Astyanax mexicanus: one gene and its partner. The protein of the gene in region 1 purifies or fractionates together with the protein of each later gene. This does not show direct contact. Links are inferred from orthologs where the notes say so. Each region holds a gene or a part of one and is shown in the gene's direction. Other genes may lie near its edges. The genes, in order: casp10 and faslg.

What was found.
Region 2: the proteins of casp10 (region 1) and faslg purify together in Homo sapiens (co-immunoprecipitation; 3 studies listed by BioGRID and IntAct, with this or other methods). This does not show direct contact. The link is inferred for Astyanax mexicanus from reciprocal best matches to the Homo sapiens genes CASP10 and FASLG.

Annotation. Positions count from the first base shown.
Region 1 is NC_064418.1:32,518,739-32,522,667, reverse strand, and holds the start of casp10 (caspase-8), read left to right. Parts: upstream 1-1,544; 5' UTR 1,545-1,768; coding exon 1,769-1,780; intron 1,781-3,929. UniProt on the Homo sapiens protein: Involved in the activation cascade of caspases responsible for apoptosis execution. Recruited to both Fas- and TNFR-1 receptors in a FADD dependent manner. May participate in the granzyme B apoptotic pathways.
Region 2 is NC_064408.1:62,930,833-62,934,761, forward strand, and holds the start of faslg (tumor necrosis factor ligand superfamily member 6), read left to right. Parts: upstream 1-1,561; 5' UTR 1,562-2,488; coding exon 2,489-2,788; intron 2,789-3,564; coding exon 3,565-3,610; intron 3,611-3,717; coding exon 3,718-3,774; intron 3,775-3,929. UniProt on the Homo sapiens protein: Cytokine that binds to TNFRSF6/FAS, a receptor that transduces the apoptotic signal into cells. Involved in cytotoxic T-cell-mediated apoptosis, natural killer cell-mediated apoptosis and in T-cell development.

The DNA of each region.
Region 1 (3,929 bases):
TCTTAATTTTTGTGATAAATGTTTACTATTTTCACATAGTTTTACACAAATTCACTGAAGTTTGTAACAAATTAGGTAAAGGGTGCTTTTTTTATCTGTTTACATGCATGAGCACCTTACGCAGATCATTTGGTTAAAGTAATTGAACTCAAGATTCTTGGTGTACTATCAACAAGCCTAACAACAAGCAACATTTAGGTTTTATATATGGTCTATGGCCAAATCAACAATAATGACTGGAGTGTACCAATGTGTACCGGTAACTTTTTGAATGTGGAGAAACCACAACACTGGAAACCAAATTTTAGTTTCATTATAACAGCCAAAGCTCAGAAAATATAGATGAAACAATATTTTTTTATTTACTAGGTATATGTTTGAAAAAATATGGTCAAATATCTAAATTCTGTTAGTATTTGAAAATAACCTCAGGCTTGTGTGAGTGTCTTCTGTAATTTTTTTGTAATTTTAGGTGAATAAAGCTTAAAGCTGCAGCTATGAGACATTGGTTTAATGCTGTAAGATACGCAGTATTTACAGCCTCTGACTGATGTTCAGTACAGGGAGCTCTATTGAAAAAATTTATTCATTCATTTGCTCCTCAGCTAAAATTCTGGTGAATTGGACAGTTCAAAACATGTTGATGACGAATGTGATTAAATATGATTCATTTAGATTAATTAATCACAAGTCATGTAATTCATTGAAGTACTTTTAAGCATCTGACAGCACAATAAAAAATGCGCTACCACTGTCTTAAAACTGCTGGCGTGAATCTGCTGGCGTATATCCGCGGCTCTGCAGACAGATACTAATGGGAAAGTATCCTATATCCCTGTATATATATGAGAAAATCACTGTTCAAACACTAGAGGGAGTTCAAAATGTGGTGAGGTGAAGTGAATGGAGCTAAACGCCTAAAAACTTAAATTAAAAATAGTAACTATAACCATTTGACATGGATATTCTTTGGATATATTTTTGGAAAGTAGGATATGTAGAATGTTGCTAAAACAAGCAAAGAAAACATACCTTTATATTTAACAGGTTTTAGGCAGTCAATGTGCTACCTTTAGGCTAATCCTTCTGTGTGCTGACTAGAGGTGGGTAATCCAGGTCCAGAAGGTAAAAATCCAGTCCAAGGTTTTGTACCAACTGCATGGGCGGCCCTGGACCTGGGTTACCCACCTCTAGTCAGGCAGTTGGTACAAAACCCTGGTCTGGATTTTTACTGTCTGGAGCTGGGATACTCACCTCTAGTGCTGCCTGGTTGGTGAACTCAGCTGATGCTGGAATTACAGCCAGAACATTTTAAATGGTTTATAACTGGAGTTTTTAAACTTAAAAAATATATATTTGCCACTGAACCATGTGATATTGTGCTGTGGGAAATGGGTGCAATTTTCAGTATAGAAATTATCAAACATTTATAAACTGCTCAAATGCTCCATATGAATCTATTCATTTTGGACTCCAAGAAAATATCTTTAAAATGGGAATTCTCCTCTCTAGAAGTTCTATGATTGCGTGTTTAAGTTTAACTCCACCCTCTCCCCACCTTCCCTGCACAGTTTCGGTTTTACTCTCTGACATGAAAAACTTTCTGTGCGCAAGAAAACGTCTTTTTTTGTTCAGTCGAAATATTGCCATTCCAGTCAGCGTATTTTAGCTGATTATTCTCGCTGTTAGGTTGAATATGAACCATTACCCTCTCAGGGAATTTTCTCCTGTTTTCAGCTGAAGGTGTTCCCACAGGACTCCTCACAGCATGGAGGAACAGGTAAGTCGTTTTACTCGTCGGCTAAAAGTTAAACTTTATATATTTAATGGTGTAGTCTGTTGGGGAGCGAGGCAGAAGATATATTTGTTATATACAGACGTGAAAGAGACTCTGTCCGTGTCACAAGATACACTAGCTAACCTACCACACCCGGGCTGAACCCTACAGTTCTAGGAAATTTAGGTTAACTTACTTCCTTAAGTGAAGAAATGAGAGATTCTGCCGGAAGTGTCGAATAATAAAGAACAAATCCCTCTTTACCTTGCTTAGGTAGAAAGTTTGGTCATCTTTACTTTACTAAAGTAATACTTTTCAGACGACGTTTTACTTCAATATAAATTTTCACACAATTATGTGTATTTTATAATCCTTACATTTTCAAACAATTATCTGTACTTTTTTACTCTTTACATTTTCAAACAATTATCTTTAATTTCTACTCCTTACATTGTCACACAATTATCATTTCTTTCTAGTTTTTATATTTTCACACAATTATCTGTACTTTATACTCTATGCATTTTCCCACAATTATCTGTACTTTATACACCTTACATTAAAAAAATAGCCTTCTTTACTCTTATTTCAGTTCAGCTGTTTTTTATTGGTTTCAATAAAATTCTATTTAGATAAATCTCTCCATCTGGATAGATTGAATTTGATTGTGGTTGAATGAGAAGTATAAATATATACAACTCCCTATTGGTTTACATGTGATCCATATATTGTGGCAGAGACTCAAGAGAACTCAAGTGAAATGTTCCAACTAAGTTTCTTTAATATTTGCATTGGGTTCATTTTCAATGGGTATATATGCAGTAATCCAGATTTTCGACATTAACATTTTAGTATAACATTGTAGTCATTATGGTTTTTAGTAAAATGTGTTTTGGGAAGGGGGTAGTGCACTATAGGCTCCTGTGGCATGGCCTAATTGTTGTCTTTAATGGCATTTTTTCCTTGAATTACTTTTACTTTTATACTTATTCTAAGTAGTTTTAAAACCAGTACTTTTACACTTGTACTTAAGTAAAAGGCTTGAGTTGCTACTTCACCTTCTACATAAGTATATTTAAACCCTAGTATGTATAATTCTACCTAAGTAATGAATGTGAATATATTTCACACCTTTGAATAATTATTAAATAGACGTAGCATGTTGTTTAATCAATGAGAAGCTCAAATCCTGTCCTAATTAAGGTCAACCTGGTTTTACTTGGTTATATTTCACAGACAGGACTGTGACAATTACAGTCTATACTGCTACATAGTTTTGCTCTGTGGCGGTTTTGCCTAGGAAAACACTGGATGGCGCCACTGCTACCCATCCAGCGGCCTGGCTGATCCACATGGCAGCTTAACATTCGACATAAATCTCAGTTTTAGTAGTGAAGAGAAGACTTAAAGGCCTGAGAGGTGACTAACTAAAAATAGGGCTGTTCTAAAACTTTTGACTGACCGTGTATGTTACTAATTCAGTCAACATTCAGCACAAATATGCCCAAATAGCCTGTTAGTCAAGTCCAAAACAAACGTGTAAACTGCTACTTTTGAGTTATAAAACTAACAAACTGTACAGCTGTGAACTATACATTCCTGCAAAATCCTCAATTGGATAGGTCCCATTGCCTTTCACTGGTTTTGATGGCTGATTAGGAAACTACGATGAGCAGAAGGCCTGATAGCAAAGAACACTGAATAAACATATATTTTTTTGGTTGCAGTAGATCAGGGGTGTACAATTTTTTTTTGTTGTGGGCCAGAAGGAGAAATATATGTGCAGTCATGGACCACAGACTCAAAAATCAATAAAACAAATAATGAAATATACTACTTATAATAAAACATTTCCTTAATTACTATCATTTACACACCATTTTACTTGAGTTACTATCTTTATCTGTCTTAGACAGTGTTGTGTAAACTAAGATTTTTCAAATTAATGTTCTGGTTCATAATGTCTCTTAATATTATACTAGTAAAAAAATAGTAATTTTCCCAACATGCCTGAAATTTTCTGCATTTGCTGTCCATTTTTTCGTTTCTTTGGAGTTGTTAGACTCTTTGGCCCGTTTTCTATACTACAACCGTGCACTCTCTCCTCTTTTAGACTCTTTGGCCCGTTAACCTCGCTACAACTGATCACTCT
Region 2 (3,929 bases), on another chromosome or scaffold:
TGCAAAGGAAATCAGTCCAAATCTCATCAGCACTAAGATCAGCACTTGGTCTTTCAAAAATGGCTTCAAGTTTTCTAAACCCAAAACTGTTTGCACTCACTTCTGTCAACTGCGAACTTTACACCATGAGCCATTGTTATATATGGATGGTGCAGCAATCCAAGTTGTGAAAGAGGTTAAATTCCTTGGTCTTACATTTGATAATAAATTATCTTTTATTCCACATATGAAGAATCTTAAGAAGAGATGTTTTAAAACTCTGGACATTTTAAAAGTGCTGACAAAGACGAAATGGAGGGCAGAGAGGACTGTTCTGCTACGCTTGTATAGAACACTTGTGCGATCCCGTTTGGACTATGGGTGTTTTGTCTATGGATCGGCAAGAAAATCTTACACTCAGATGTTGGATACTATTCATCACCAAGGTTTAAGACTGGCCTTAGGGGCCTTTAGAACCTCACCAGTGCAGAGTCTTTATGTGGAAGCTGGAGAACCATCCCTTCAACTACGACGTTTGAAACTTGCTCTACAATATGCAGTTAAAATCAAGGGAAACAGAGATAACCCTGCCTACTCCACTGTCTTTCAACCGCAGTATCTGAATTTTTATGAGGCTAGACCCAGGACTATCAGACCCTTTGGACTGAGAATCAAACCTTTTCTTGATGATTTGAATGTTGATCTAGATGGATTAACATCTACTCACCTTTGTTCTATTCCCCCTTGGACCCTGAGGCAACCTATAATCGTGCAGGACCTGAGTCACAAAACAAAATCAAGTACACATCCAAACGAGTACCAAAGTTGCTTTCTTGATGTTAGACAACGCTTTTCATCGTACATTCCAATCTATACTGATGGCTCAAAAACTGATACTTGTGTGTCCTCAACAATGGTAGTCTCTTCCAATCATTGTGGAATACGCATCCCAAACTTAGCTCTATTTTTTTTTGGGCTGAAGCCCAAGCCTTGCTTTTAAGTCTTGAATACATCGAACAACACCACCAACACAAGCCCCTGATTTGCACAGACTCTAGATCATGCCTTCAGGCTTTGGAATTTTTAAAGACTGACCACCCCCTGATTGTTAAAATACTTGAAAAACTGGTCACATGGGCCTGAGTGGTAACGAAAAGGCAGATAGTGCTGCTAAAGGAGCTTTGAATGAAAACATCTCTGAGTGCCAGATCCCTGTCTCTGATATCAAACCTGTACTTTCGTCCTATATTATTGATAAATGGCAAGCTGAATGGGACAGCTGCGATGACAATAAGCTGCATGAAATCTGCACTTCTGTAAAACAAACTGTAACTCAATTATTTTCTTGTAGACATGATCAAGTTGTTTATACAAGGTGTAGGATTGGACATTCTAGGCTCACCCATGTTTTTTTTACTAATTAGAGATGAACCTCCCCTGTGTGATCACTGTGGCAATGTTTTATCAATCAAGCATATTTTATCTTGTCCTGCTCTTAGAGTGAAAAGACAGCAGTTTTTTTACAGAAATTACTACTGTAGATATTTTTAATAAGGTCTCACCTTTGAAACTTTTACCTGGTACAGATCTGGCTTTGACCATTACTATTAAGTAGAAAAGAGCTGGTCCGCTAAAAGCAGCTAAAAGATCTCAAAAATTAACACATTATGCAGATCTGAAGTTGGTAGTGTGATGGTCTGGGACTGCTTTTCTGCTTAAGGGCCTGGACAACATGCTGTAAAAGATTAAACCAGGAATTCTGCTGTTTACCAGACAATCCTGAGACTTTTGCAGCAGGACACGGATCCAAAGCACACAAACAAGTCCAAGTCCACAAGTCCACCTCTGAATGGCTTAAAAAAACGAAGGTTTTGGAGCCTAGCCTAAGTCTGATTGAAATGCTGTGAATGATCTTAAACAGGACATTCATGCTCGAAATCCCTTCAATGTGGCAGAATTAAAACAATTCTGTAGAGGAGAGTTGGCCAAAATTCACCAAAAGACTCATTGGCAGTTTTTGGTAAAGCTTGATTACCTTTGTAGTTGCCAAGTGTTTTGGTTCAGGGGCAAACACTTTTTTTTTACACAGGGCTAGATTGGTTTGAATTTTTTTTCCTTTGATAAATAAAACTATCATTTAAAATGTGCTTTTTATCTTTATCTGGTATTAAAGTTTGTTTGTTAAAATTTTGAAAAATATCAGTATGACAAAAAAGCGAACAACAAAAGAAATCTGTTGGGGGCCAATACTTTTTCACACCACTGTACATGACTAACTGTAATGCATGTACTCTGAGTGCATTGTGTAAGCAGGCAAAAAGTTTTCCTGTCCGTGATGTCATCAGAACCCATCTCATCAGCATATGCATGCTGAGAGAAAGAGAGAGAGGTAGGTTGTGGGAGGGCCACATATGAAGTGTCGACCACATAAGAAGTCTTTTAAAAATTTGTAGCTCTGTAACTCTTTTTATACACACACTCACCCTTGGACAGACTGAGAGCTGTAAGCATGAATGGTAACCTAAGGTACCAGTATCCACCAGTGTTCACAGTGGATGCTGCAGGAGGCCTTCATCAGCAGCATCATCATCATCATCCCCAGATGGCTGCTGCAAGGACAGATCCGACCCTGGTTCCCTGCTGGACCTTTCCCCCTGCTCGTGCCCAGACCAAGAGGAGGAGCTGTGGAGGACTGACCTCTGCTGCAGGAACCCTCCTGGTTATGGTGCTGGTGGTGATCTTTGCTGCACTGGGACTGGGAGCCTACCAAATTAGGAAACTCGAAATGGAGGTGATAAAGCTCAAGAAGGTGAGAAGCTTCACTTTTGTCAAGAAGAGTTTCATAAAGTGACAATAAATAGCTGATTTTGATGCCTATGAAGAATCACAAAGAATAAGTTCTTCTTTGTATAGAAGAAACTTTGAATCAGTTCAGCATTTAATAAATGTAGCATTCAGTGGGTTCTTTAAATTGATGGTTATGTATGACCATTGCCTTTTAGAAAGAGCCCCCCTCCCCTGTTTAAGTGTATGATGTTTGATTATGTATTATGTGTTTGTTTGTTTGTTAGTTTGATCTGGAATTAACTTATATTAAATTATAAATTATTTAAAGTTCTAAATTATTTAACTACAAAAAAATAGTGGCCACTAAAAACCATGAGCAATTGAAGTGCTGCCCCCCACACAGGTCCTTGTCATTTAAGTTCAATGTATTAATTTCTAGATTTTCTAGTTTTTTCTAAAGCTTAGTGCATTAGAGCATTTTCTCTGCATTTTGACATTTACTTGAGCACACTCGGACCGGAATCGTCTAAAAAAAGATAAAGGTTTGTGGTCACCAGTCCATCAGTACAGGATATCCTCTACTCAAACCAGAGCGCAGTCAGACATACATCTCACCTTCTTCTTAAGAAGTGAAAGCTGAGCATAAAGGGCACAAAGATGGTCTCTCTACACTCTAATTCATCCTCATTTACACATTAAGAAGTTTCTGTACATTGTTTACAAGCACCAGTATAAAAATCTGATGCATATGCAGAATTTAACACCCCTCATACTGTATTTCTATTTCTTTCATGACAGGAAATGAACAAACCAACTGAAAGCATGGCACCGCAGAAGCTGGTTGGTAAGTTTCTCAGGCTGTTATTACCTGTGGCCTGCTTGTGCTTATTGCACTTCATCAAACACAAACATGAGAACTAACCTTCTTCTTACCTTTTGACTTGTTTTCAGGAAACCAAGTAGAAGCAAATGAAAAGGCCAATCATATTGAAGCTGCACATCTGATGGGTAAAGACCATTTCTTTTTTCTAAAGGGTTCTAGTGTGAAATAACTCCTACACAACAGCAGGCATCATGTGTGGGATCAGATAAAAGACTAATTAAAGATTCTTTTTAGGCTGCACATGAACACACAAACACACACACACAAGCACTTTCCTGTG